Linked DNA regions of Caenorhabditis elegans. The protein of the gene in region 2 interacts with the protein of the main gene of each other region in a pairwise test. Each region holds a gene or a part of one and is shown on either strand. Other genes may lie near its edges.

The links.
Region 1: the proteins of alfa-1 (region 2) and smcr-8 interact in a two-hybrid assay, tested with the Caenorhabditis elegans proteins (one study listed by BioGRID).

The regions. Positions count from the first base shown.
Region 1 is NC_003281.10:4,997,380-5,002,054, reverse strand, and holds smcr-8 (Guanine nucleotide exchange protein smcr-8), read right to left. Parts: upstream 2,681-4,675; 5' UTR 2,673-2,680; coding exon 2,513-2,672; intron 2,468-2,512; coding exon 2,153-2,467; intron 2,105-2,152; coding exon 1,958-2,104; intron 1,916-1,957; coding exon 1,803-1,915; intron 1,757-1,802; coding exon 1,365-1,756; intron 1,318-1,364; coding exon 1,231-1,317; intron 1,193-1,230; coding exon 1,130-1,192; intron 1,021-1,129; coding exon 762-1,020; 3' UTR 687-761; downstream 1-686. Other genes in the region: R144.10 (Coiled-coil domain-containing protein 25), read left to right, coding at 1-13, 59-127, 171-218, 270-584; tmem-131 (Transmembrane protein 131 homolog), read left to right, coding at 3,922-4,017, 4,062-4,351, 4,523-4,643.
Region 2 is NC_003280.10:7,657,614-7,664,341, forward strand, and holds alfa-1 (ALS/FTD Associated gene homolog), read right to left. Parts: upstream 4,676-6,728; 5' UTR 4,653-4,675; coding exon 4,608-4,652; exon of another isoform or gene 4,499-4,607; coding exon of another isoform or gene 4,463-4,498; intron 4,402-4,462; coding exon 4,138-4,401; intron 4,094-4,137; coding exon 3,610-4,093; intron 3,562-3,609; coding exon 3,264-3,561; intron 2,902-3,263; coding exon 2,670-2,901; intron 2,624-2,669; coding exon 2,513-2,623; intron 2,468-2,512; coding exon 2,225-2,467; intron 2,177-2,224; coding exon 1,974-2,176; intron 1,197-1,973; coding exon 872-1,196; 3' UTR 715-871; downstream 1-714. Other genes in the region: F18A1.7 (Chondroitin proteoglycan 4 domain-containing protein), read right to left, coding at 5,196-5,307, 5,358-5,625, 5,674-5,976, 6,024-6,141.

The DNA.
Region 1 (4,675 bases), on a different chromosome or scaffold from region 2:
CATCGGCAAAGAGGTAAACTGGCCAACATCATTGCAAAAATTATTAAAAACTGTTTAGGACTTCGAAAATCTGCTTAAACACCCGACTGTTGCTGACAAAGTGGATTTTATTTCAGGAAGTGTTGATGTAAGATAAATTCAGCTTTCGAGTGTTATTTTTTATTTTACAGCTTGTTCTTTCGAACATGTACGTGAAATGCAATAATTCAGAATATATGGTGAGATTTCTTATTAACAAAAGCGTTCGTTAATCAAAATTACATTTCCAGGTGTGCAAAGTGAGAATCCCGGACATTGATAAACCAGAAATCATCTGTCACTGGCCAACTGAACCAAAGGCTCATTATAAAAAGTCAAAACGATCAATGACAGAGCCAGACGAAGAAGATGACCGAGTTTTAGAACAACATGAAAAAGAAATCGCTCATCTCGTGGCGGAAAACACTAATTTGCGTCAAGAGCTCGCCATTCTGAAGCAGTCTTTTGAAGAGTTCAAGAAGGCGGCTGAATTGGCTAGAAATCGTGACAAGGCAGACTTTTGGGCTGAAATCAACCAAATGAAACAGGATATCATCAAAAGATGAAAGTTCTCCGAATGCATTGTCGTAAATCAATGCTCTGTCGTCCTTATTTTTAAAATTTTCCTTCTTCTAATTACTGTTCATATCATCTATAATTATGTTTTGTTTCAATGACAGCTTGTATTGTATCAGACTGAATTTGATTTTTTTTATTGTTTCATAAATATTCAAATTTTTAAATCACAAATTGATGGTTCTACTCGGCTTTGCCCCGTCTTTGGATGATACTTTGAGTTGGTTGAATTTTTCGAAGTCGATTCCCATCAGCAAGTTGATCAATATTCTTTCGTCGTCTGAGCTCAGTTTCTGCTGATCTCCCAATGCTTTTTCGATAGAGTTCGGAGATTTGATGAACATATATCGACAGATGAATGCAAGCTGACAAATATTTGTCAAATAGGCAATTATAAAAAGGACCAGGGAACGATCAGATGGGAACCTGAAAGGCGTTTATTGTTAGGAGAGTGTATATCTTAACTGAACTTATCCCCTTATTTGCACTTAATTGTTTGACAAGATAAGGAAATAAGTCCATAAATGTTACTCACTTTCTTTTCTTATTGAGACCAGCTAGCAATGATCCATCGTAGGTAAACGTCTTGAGAGCACTTCTGAAACCGATATTTTTTTTTTTTTGAATTTTTATTACCTATTCATATCAAGAACATTTCTCCATCTTGCCAATTTTCCGGTCTCATTTCTATTACATAGCAGACCGCCCAATCCATTGCCTATTCTGAAAAATTACCAAATTTTAGAATTGAATGTTTTCTGATTATTTACCTATTTGGATCCTTTTCGATTTTGATATTTTCTTCTACATTCCGAGCACTTTCTCTTGGAACAACTCTGCTCAATTTCCCGAGCATATCTTCTACAGTACTCTTTCTCTGTTCTGCTCCACAAACTACCAAATCTTCTCCACAAAGCAATGGAAATATGACATCTCCCAGGTGTCCAGTTACTTCTTTTAGAGTTTCTTCTCCGTTTTTATCATTATCAGATTTTCCTGAATCAGTGTTCCAAGGCAAAGTTGTAGTGGCGGCTGGTGATGTAGTTGCGATGGGACGGTGTCCACAGAAAAGAGCTCCATGAGTAGAATTTCTATTAGGGCTTCCTGATGAACATAGTTCGGAGCATAGTTGGCGTAGTTTTGGAATTATGGATGAATACGCCTGTATAATTTAATTTTTATAGGCAACAAAGGTTTTAAAATCTTACACATGGAGTGAGAGTTTCCACAGGACTCAATGGAATTGATGGAACTCGGAATGAGCAAATAATATCTTCAGCTTCGTTCATGTTTTCTGCATTGTGACCACAGCAAATGTCATCTGAAATATAATTCTAAATCAAAGTCTCAACGTTTTGTTCACCATCAAAAGCCATTTCTTGAAATCTTTTCGTCAAAAATTTGCTTTTTAGAAGCCTGGTTTGCTCGAAAACTACATTGAATCTGCTTCCGTCTGACAACTTTTGTGAATCTCCATTCAGTGTATAGTACTGTTTCAGGGTGGTTTCATCTGAAAATGGTAACAATTTGTTTAAAAAATCGAAGAAAAAAAACTTACCAACACTGTCCGAAAACTTGACAATATCAGTGACATGGCGAATAAACAGACGTCGATTGCAAATCAAAACTGGTGAAACTAATTTTTTCATAGCTGATGAGAATAGGTTCAAAGTTTCTTTTGTTGGCTTCTCCGAACATAAATAGGCGATGCATAAATTTCTTTGAAAAGCTCTTGCTCTCATGTCGTACAAATTAAAATAATATGCGGCCGCATATACACCCGTTTGATTGTTTTCCAACACAATCATTGTACCCGGAACAGTATCAGACGACATCAACCAGATTGCCATATCGTTTATGTCAACTCCGCGGACTGAAAATTAGCATTTATTCGAGAAAATTGTGTATAAATATTTACTTTTATCATCTGGCCGCTGAGAAACTACCGCTAGTGGTTTTGGTCCGATAACTTGGCAAAATTCGACAAGAGTCAGAAATGGATCAATTTTTGCGACGAATCTGTTGAATGGATCGACGACTTTGGATGGTCGGAGGAGAAAATCCTCGAATGAAATCATTTCTGAAATTAATACAATTTTAATTTCATAATAAAAAGACGAATTCAGCAGAAAACGGCTTAAAAAACAAAAGTGAAAATGTTTGCAAATTATGGAAGAGTTTCCTTCATTAAAACTTTTCAAGCATGCGCCTTTAAAGCTACAGTAACCAAAACCCTCTATAAAACTACTCATTAATCAATTTAAAAGTCAATTTACGTTCAAGTTAAATTAAATCAATATTTTCCAAGCGAAATTGTTTGCAAAAGAACAATGAAGTAACTTCCAGCAGTGTAAACATCGGAAAACCAGTCACTGCAGTCAGGAGATATTGTTCTGGTGGCCGTGGCCGAGGATTCTCCACACGGCTGAAATAACTGTAATTTGTTTCTGTAGTTTTTCTGGTTTTTAATCGTCAGTTTTGAACGTTTTCGCGCAGAAATTTGCATATTCGGAATTATTTAAGACATATTTTTGATATTTATAGTATACTCTGTCAAATATTCTATTTTTCGCGTGTTTGTTAACAACAATAGCCGAAGAAAATCATTTTCTGATTACAAAAAAAATGTGTCCATAATTTCCACAATTGTTCTGCTAAATAAAGACTGTTTTCTGATTTTCTAAATTCTATGTAAATCCAAGCGCTCAATATTTTAATGCTTCATTAATATTCATACCCGAGGTAATAAAACTAGCCTGCGGTTGACAGCTATAGACTTTTTTCCTGACTGCCTTGACCTAGATGACAGATGGTTATCACTTTGTCTTTGTTTTATTCACTTGATTCCACTCATTTTTCACCGAAAAAAGCCCTTTTTCTTTTTTCTCTCTTCACTTTTCCAAACCAGATTTCTTCGTTCTTCTTTCTCTTATAATGGTGTGATGACGTGTTCAACATCTCTATTTTCCCTCAAAAATCGATCGATCCTATTTGTTCTGCGTCTCACGACGACTGTATCTTCTTCTTCCCAAGATGCCGAATACTGGGTCTCTCCAAATCAAACACTATCTCTTCTCCCAGTTATCCTTCCCAATTGAAGTCGACGTCGCCTTTGCCGTTGTCTCTCACTTTTTTATTTCCCTGGAGAAATCTCTTAGTGCCGTTCAATTCCACGTATCATCCATGTTGCATAAGCAAATAAGCAAAAAATAAGCAATAAAAACTGATTTCCGTTTTATTGTGCTTTTTAATTATCTTACTCAGAAAACCTATAGAAAAAAATTTATTCGTTTTTTCAGAGAAACTCTCAATTTACCAAATGCTCAAATGGTTCCATCAATACACAAAACTTCAAACAGATATCGGACGATATATTTCTTCCTAATTTCTCTTTTAATCACTTCAACTTTTGCAGATCAGCAGGTATGGTTTAGCCTCAGAAATTCACATTAAAAAATCAATTTCAGGCATGGCCTCTTCCAGAAGAAGTGTCCGCATCCCAGCTTCACGAGATTCCAGTTCTTCATACCGCATTTGTTCAAATCGGTGAAGAGCTTCACTATCTCAATCATCCTATTCGACCCGAAAATGTGCATCAATTGCCAGTTTATGATTCAATTAAAGGAGTTTGTGAAGGAAATTGTCCGAAAGAAGCCAACAAGAACCATGCGACGAAAACATTCAACGTGTTGAAATTGTCTGGAAAAGGGAAACTTCCAATGGAGATGGATCCACCAATGATGGATTTTGGGCAAAAGTGAATAATTTTTAATTATACTCAAAAGATCGAACTTCATAACGAGACTTTGAAAAAATGCAATTTTTGGAATGTCTCGTTATGAAATTCGACATTTTGGGGCCATTTTAAGTATGATAACAAAAATTTTGATTAATTTAAAAAACCTTCCAAGTATGCATTTTTTTTCAGTTCTGTCGGTACCGCGCAGAAACGCAAAATCTACATTCGAAATATGAGAAATGAACAGATATTCCTCGATGCAGTTGTTGTCAACTCTATTGAATTTCAAGCTTCATATTTTGAGCAATATGTGAGTTTTCTCTACTCAAAAATCAATTATTT
Region 2 (6,728 bases):
ACACACACAAATGTAGAAGTTTTTCTCAAATTACCACAATTATATGGCAAATGAAGAAGAAGCAACAACAACAGCAGAAGGAAAAAGAGCAGAAACAGATGAATAGGTGCTAAAAGACTCTTTTTCCTTTTTCTATCCATCTGTTCAGATGAAGACAATGATGTGTGGGATGGTTCAGACATGAAAAGAGGAGGATAACTAATTATAGAATAAGAAAATGATGATACATTGACACCAACATATATGAAATGAGAAAAAAGTAAAAGAAAACACAAAATATTGATGAATTACCGAGTTTTCTTAGAGAATTCGAATTTTCAAAGAAATGTTGAATATAAATTAATGGGTACCTTTTCCTTATTTTAAATGAGGGGTTGGTGGCATTTTCTATGAAATATTTTACGTCAATCAACACTTGACAGATCAGTTGAAAAAATATTTGTAAATTCATTTTTCTTTTTGGAATCTGAATTGTAATTTTATTTTGAGGGGAAAAAAGGAAGGTTGCTCTTCTCGTCGTCATTATGATTTTCTCATATTCAAGCAGAAGCAGCAACAACAAGCACAGATTGGAACACAAGTTTTGAATAATATTATTCGTTGAAGAGAGAAGGAGCACATATTTATAGATGAGAGGTTCATATTGCAAGATTTGAAAAATAAACTTGATTCATCATATTTTTCTTTCAACTGTTTGCCAGAATAAAAACAAAAGATTATAAAGTTTTTATTCATCACACGTGGAAAATGGTAGGCAATTCAATAAAAGTGTAACAAAAAATTGGGGAATGCAACTAAATTCATCAGAAACTGAAGGCAAAAAAAAAGAGTATCTCGTATTTAATATCCATGACTGGTTTGGACTTTGGCTCTACATGTAAATAAATTCGGATATGTCAGGCTGAAGTATTTCGGCTCTCGCTAGAACCGCGTTGAACAGAGCATCGTTGGTCAGATCCAGGGATTTTCGGCATTCAGTTAAACTGAACGATTTGGATCGTGTTCCGCACTCTTTTTCGTCATTTCCGGGGCGACTAGCATCACGGACAAAAGCAATGAATGCAGCGGCAAGATTATCGAAATAGAGCATTATTTGAGTACAGAATCCAGAACGAACTGATTCTTCCATTGGAAGTAAATCCATTTGCTTTAGGAATGTATTCACTGATTCAAGAGTTCGGCAAGGTGACAGTTCTCTGGAATAATCAAAATTTTTTCTGGAGAATAAATTACCTAAATGTTTTATAAAAAATATAATGAATCTTCAATAATTTTCGAATTTCTATTGTAATGTTTTTCTGCTATAAAAATCAATAAATTATATTTAATTTCCTATGAAAATTATATTTATCGTTGGTGTAAATTAACTTTTTGATTTTTAAAATTTGTCATTTTTAGTTGCGCAACTAAAAACTAGTTGCAAATAATTGCTCTTTTTTAGGTTTTTTTCTAGGTTTTTTTTAACTTAAAAAACAGTTTTCACGAAATAGATCAAGTGAAAAAATCACTAAATGTTCAAATTCTCAAAATATATTTGATTGAATATTTTTATAAGTGATCGTTTTTATATAATCAACATACGAATGTTTTCTAGGAATTTGTTAAAAATTCAATTATTAACTATTACAGTACTTCCCAGATTTCGTTTTTTTGTCAACAATACGATACACGGTCTCGACACGACTATTTTTTGTTGAATGGAAAAAGTGTGAGCCTTGAAATAGTACTGTAAATTCAAACTTTTATTGCTGCGAAGTTTTCATAGATGTTTCATAGTTTTTCTATTTATCAAAAATGAGGTATTATTATTGTTATATTTGAGTTTTTTTAAATGTAAATAGAATTTTATCAAAAAATTTTAAAAATCTGATTTTGAAAATTCTGCAGTATTAAAAAGTTTCAAATTACAGTAAATTTTAAATCCGCGCACCTTGATCTTTTTTTTTCTTTTTCTCAAAAAAAAACAAACTTACATCTGTGGAATTTTTGTGTTCTTCGAAACCATCACGCCTGCATGTTCAAGAATCAACCGTACCCCTCGAGAATCATTTCGTGCTCGTAAAATTCGATGTTTTTGATATGAAGCTGACATACACACTGCTGACCGATCAATGTCGATGATACAAATAGGCCAAGGGCTTGATGTTCCGCTCATTATAACTGAAGGGAGTTCTGCCTGAAATAATGTTTTTTTAAAATAAAATAATTTGATGGTTTCACATACCCTTCGTACACCTTGTAATTTTAAATATGGATTATACTTGTGTCGGTAAGCTCTTAGACAACACCATTGATGTGCTTCAGGAACAAAAAATGCAAGAGTATAGAGGAGTCTGGCAACCAAAACATGATCCGATCCAATAATTACAGTATGACCCTGACTTTGCAAGCATCCGGAAATCGCTTTTGCGAGAAGTCGATTTTCGGAAATTGAAATTCCTCTATCCGTGAATAGTGTGTTCTTTATCTGAAAACGAATTACATTTTTTTGTGGTAGTTGAGTAAATCTTACCATTAAAGGTCGTTCCAGAGAAACAAGAGGAAATCTTTCGAGTGCAGAAAGAAGTGACAAGAGGCGAGAAAGTTCAGAAGTCACTCGAACCAGTACATCATCAGAATCTTCCTAAAATTTGATGCATTGTCGAAAGACTATAATTTACTATTCTAACCGAAAATAATGAGGCTTTCATTTTTGGAACAGAATCGCCAACCATTCTCTCAAACCATGAATGTCGATCCAAATACCATTCTTGTTTAAGATGTGACATAAGGAATGATATGGCATATGTAATAGTTGATCCTGATTTTGTTTGAACTGAGAAAATAAACGCCGCAACTAATAAGTGACGTGAGGGTGAAACAATCATCTTGTGTTGTAGAGGACATCGGGAATGTGGGGCACTGAAATCATAATAATTACTAAACTTTTTTTGTAGAATACTGCAATATTTGCGCCAAAAATACGGTAGTCGGTCTCGACACGAAAATTGTGTCAAAAGCGAAAAAAAGGTGTGCGCCTTTAAATATTTAAATTTTTTCTCACGATTTTTAAACGTTTCCCTTCTTATTGTTTCACTTAAGTTTTTCAATTAAAATGTATTTTTATAGAAAAATCTATGAAAAATTCGCAGCAGCATGAGTTATTACAGTACATTTTTAAAGGAGCATAAGTTTTCGTATTTAACAAAAATATAGTGTCGAGACCGAACACCGTATTTTTGTTGCTAAAATGGCAATATTTTGTGCCTGGTTAATAAGCTTACTTGCAAATAAGCTCAGCCAATACACATTTGGCAACAAAAGCTTCATCTGTTACATATGATTCTCCAAAATCAATCTGATCATCGAAGAAATCGAAAATATCTCTCGGTGGTGGAGTTTTTGTATGACCTCTTTCCTCTCGAAATTCAAAAACATTTGAATTGGGAGTCGATGTCATCATTCCAAATGCATCTTCATACTTTTTGATGTGATTCTTACAAGGAGGGCTTTGACACAAAGCAGATAAATCACTATGAGTTGACACACCAACTCCAGAATCAACACAAGATCGACGGAGTTCTGAAATTATAAACAACATTGAGATTATCAAAGAAATCTGAAACTCACCATCATCATTATTAATAGGCGACAGTCTGTCAAGTTCATAATGTTCGGTAAGATGTGCCACGCACGCAACGTTCGGAGCTGGCGTCGAGGTGGATGCAATTTTATCTCGAAGATACTCTGCGAGTTCTCTATCTTCTTCATTTGGATATTTACTTGCAAGCAGCTTCCCAAGATGGCCAGTATCATTTGGAGAGGGAGAAGCAAGTGTAAAGCTGGTTCCCAATCGTTCATCTTCCAAGAATTTACCTTCACAACAATGATCCAGTCCTTCATCTCTTAATGATTTTCCACTGCTTTCAGGACTTTCCATAATACGAGAATCATCCATTGTCAATGTTTTTGTACTTGTTGTAGCAGATTCAGTCATATATTCATCCAAATACTTGAGTGTTTTGTATTTATAGTCTCCAGCATTCATTAAATCGAAATCAGCAAATGAATCGACTAAATTGGCATCCAAACCATCGAGAATTGTTAATTCTGTCTGCAAAAATTAAAAATTTGATAGCTTTATCTGAATAAACTCACTTTTAATGGATCATCGATTTCTTCAAAAGACACCGATTGATTAGATCCTGAAGAATCCATTAAACTTTCAGCATCTGCAATTGATCCATCCTCTCCAGAAAGATTTACTGGTGAAATTGAAGTCGAAGGTGTCACATCCCAGACGAATTTCAGCTCCGGGCCAGTCATAAAGTCGAATTGCGACCAAACAATCTTCATTATTCCGCAGTTTTCACTCGTTTTGAGTGGCAGCAGTCTTCGTACAGCGTGATCTTTCTTTTGTTGCTGAAAAATTCATATTTCGAAACGTTCAATTATTTTATCTAATTATATATGTATAATCTACCTTGAATTTCAGTCTTTTAACAGCGGCAGAGTGCATTTTGGAAAATTTATAGTTTCTATTCTATTGGAAATGTTCATATTATTCGCCACAATATATAAATGATAAGATGCCAATGTGATAAGAACACAAAGGAAATGATACTCACGTCTTTAAGCGCATCGTATGTGGTAAAATATTCATCCGCTTCCATATGATAAATTTATACACAAAATTCTGCAATTTATGTCGTTTTCTTAGAGAAAGTGTAAATCGATTGTGAAATAGTAGCTTTTTGAAGGGAAAACTTGAAATAAATGAAGGGAAAGAACAAGGCAAACTGCTGTATTTACACAGGCAACAAACGAAAGAATTTTCCTGTAGGTTAACAACTGTCTCTACGTCTCCGTCTCCACGATCCTTACACTCTCATTAACTTAATGCGTTCACAATGGAAGAGCGATGGAAGGGAATAGATTGACTCATCAAAATGCGATTATTGATCGATGAATTGAACTTGTCAGCTGTTTTGTCGACCACGCGGCCGAAATTCAGATATTTCGGCCATTTCAGCTTCGATAGTTGTACAAAATGTCACGAGAATTTTTTTCGGCTTTCATCCGCGTTTGAGAAAATGATTATTGAAAGCGGTTTACAGTTTACAACTATTTATTCGATATATCAACATATTTGTGTCGGGTGATTATTTACAATTCGTGGGTTTTAGTGAGTACTGGAATCATGAAATGAGATGCGATCAAATGTTATCCATGTTAAAAGCCTTGAAATCGCCGTTGCGAATGCGGTTGAGACGAGTTGGGTTAATTGCAAAACGGCATCTTTTATCGATTTTCTTACTGATGACATCCCTGAAATGTTTAGTTACATAGCATATTTAATAATGATCGCACTAACTAACCTCAATGCTGGTGACAATTGATCAACCATTACAGAAACGGCATCGAATGGTTGCATAAGCATGTCCAGACTAAGCCATCCACTCAAGGCACACTTGCTGTTGAGTCGCTTGGTGACACATGGGAGAGTACATTGCAGAGAGTTACAAAGTTCTCCAAGATGATCAGCAACAATAAATACATTACCTCCAACTGTAGCAGCGAATTTAATGTTAGAATCTTGAGCGAAAGCAGTTAGGTTTGAACGAGCATAGCATTCTTTGTCGCAGCCTGAAAACGATTTTTTGATGGTGGGCAATTTTTCAGAAAAAAAATTACCTGACATGATATCATCAACGACAGGGTTGAGACACGACTCCATTCGCTCAAACAGAACGTGCTTTGTGGCACACATATATTCAACACTGCTGCTGGCTTTTGCGAAGAGCTTGTTGTGATCACAGTACTGTTCTTTCTTCAGACAAGTGATAGCCTGTGCATGATGACCACAGACTTTGCGAGCTTGATGTACAACATTCTTCATGTTCCACAGAGACGTCGTAGAATTGATGAACGGGTCGATGCACTTTCGCATGCAATATGGAACTCCAAGAGCGCGGAAAATTGTGTCGACGTCGAGGGCTGAAGTGAAACTTTAATCTTAAGCACACAATAATCTAGTTTTTTACCTTGTTCTTCGTGTGGCACGACATCTTTGTCGTCGTGTACCGATTCGATGGCACCATTTACACACGAGAAGAACAGAAAGATGGCGGGAAGGAAGAAGGCGAGATGGAGATGGCGCATCTGGAATTATGTAGAAGTTTTTTTTCCGAAATGGGGGTTAGATATTAAGCAGTTTGAAAGTGGTCTAAAAGCTTTCGAAAACTTTTATAAGCTTTCAAGAAGGTCATATAAGGAAAAGAACAGCTAGGTAGAAATGAAGTGGGTAACTGATATAGCCGAAACTTTACATAATTTATAAAATGAAAATTTATCAAAACTGACAAATGAAAATAAAACAAAATCCGAATTCTTTATGCGACTTTTCTGATTTCAAAATTTAGCGCGTCAATAGAAAAGTTAGATCGGCGGGAAAAAACAATTTCCAAACTACGGTTTTGATGGAGGTCTCGAAGCGAATACCGTACCCGGCAAGATTTACGCAGGTGGTCCGAGCCATTCATTTTTTTCTTTTTCAAATGTGAATTGCTTTGTTGAGAACCTGCAGAAAATCTTCATGTTTGGACGAAGTATTGACTTTTAGAATGTTTTTGTTCAGTATTTTAACCCTCTTCCAATATTGCGCTGCCATAATTTCGATTCATGCGATTTTGGCCGATGTAAAACCTTCATCAAAATTTCAACAATTATTATTGTAATCTTTAAAACTT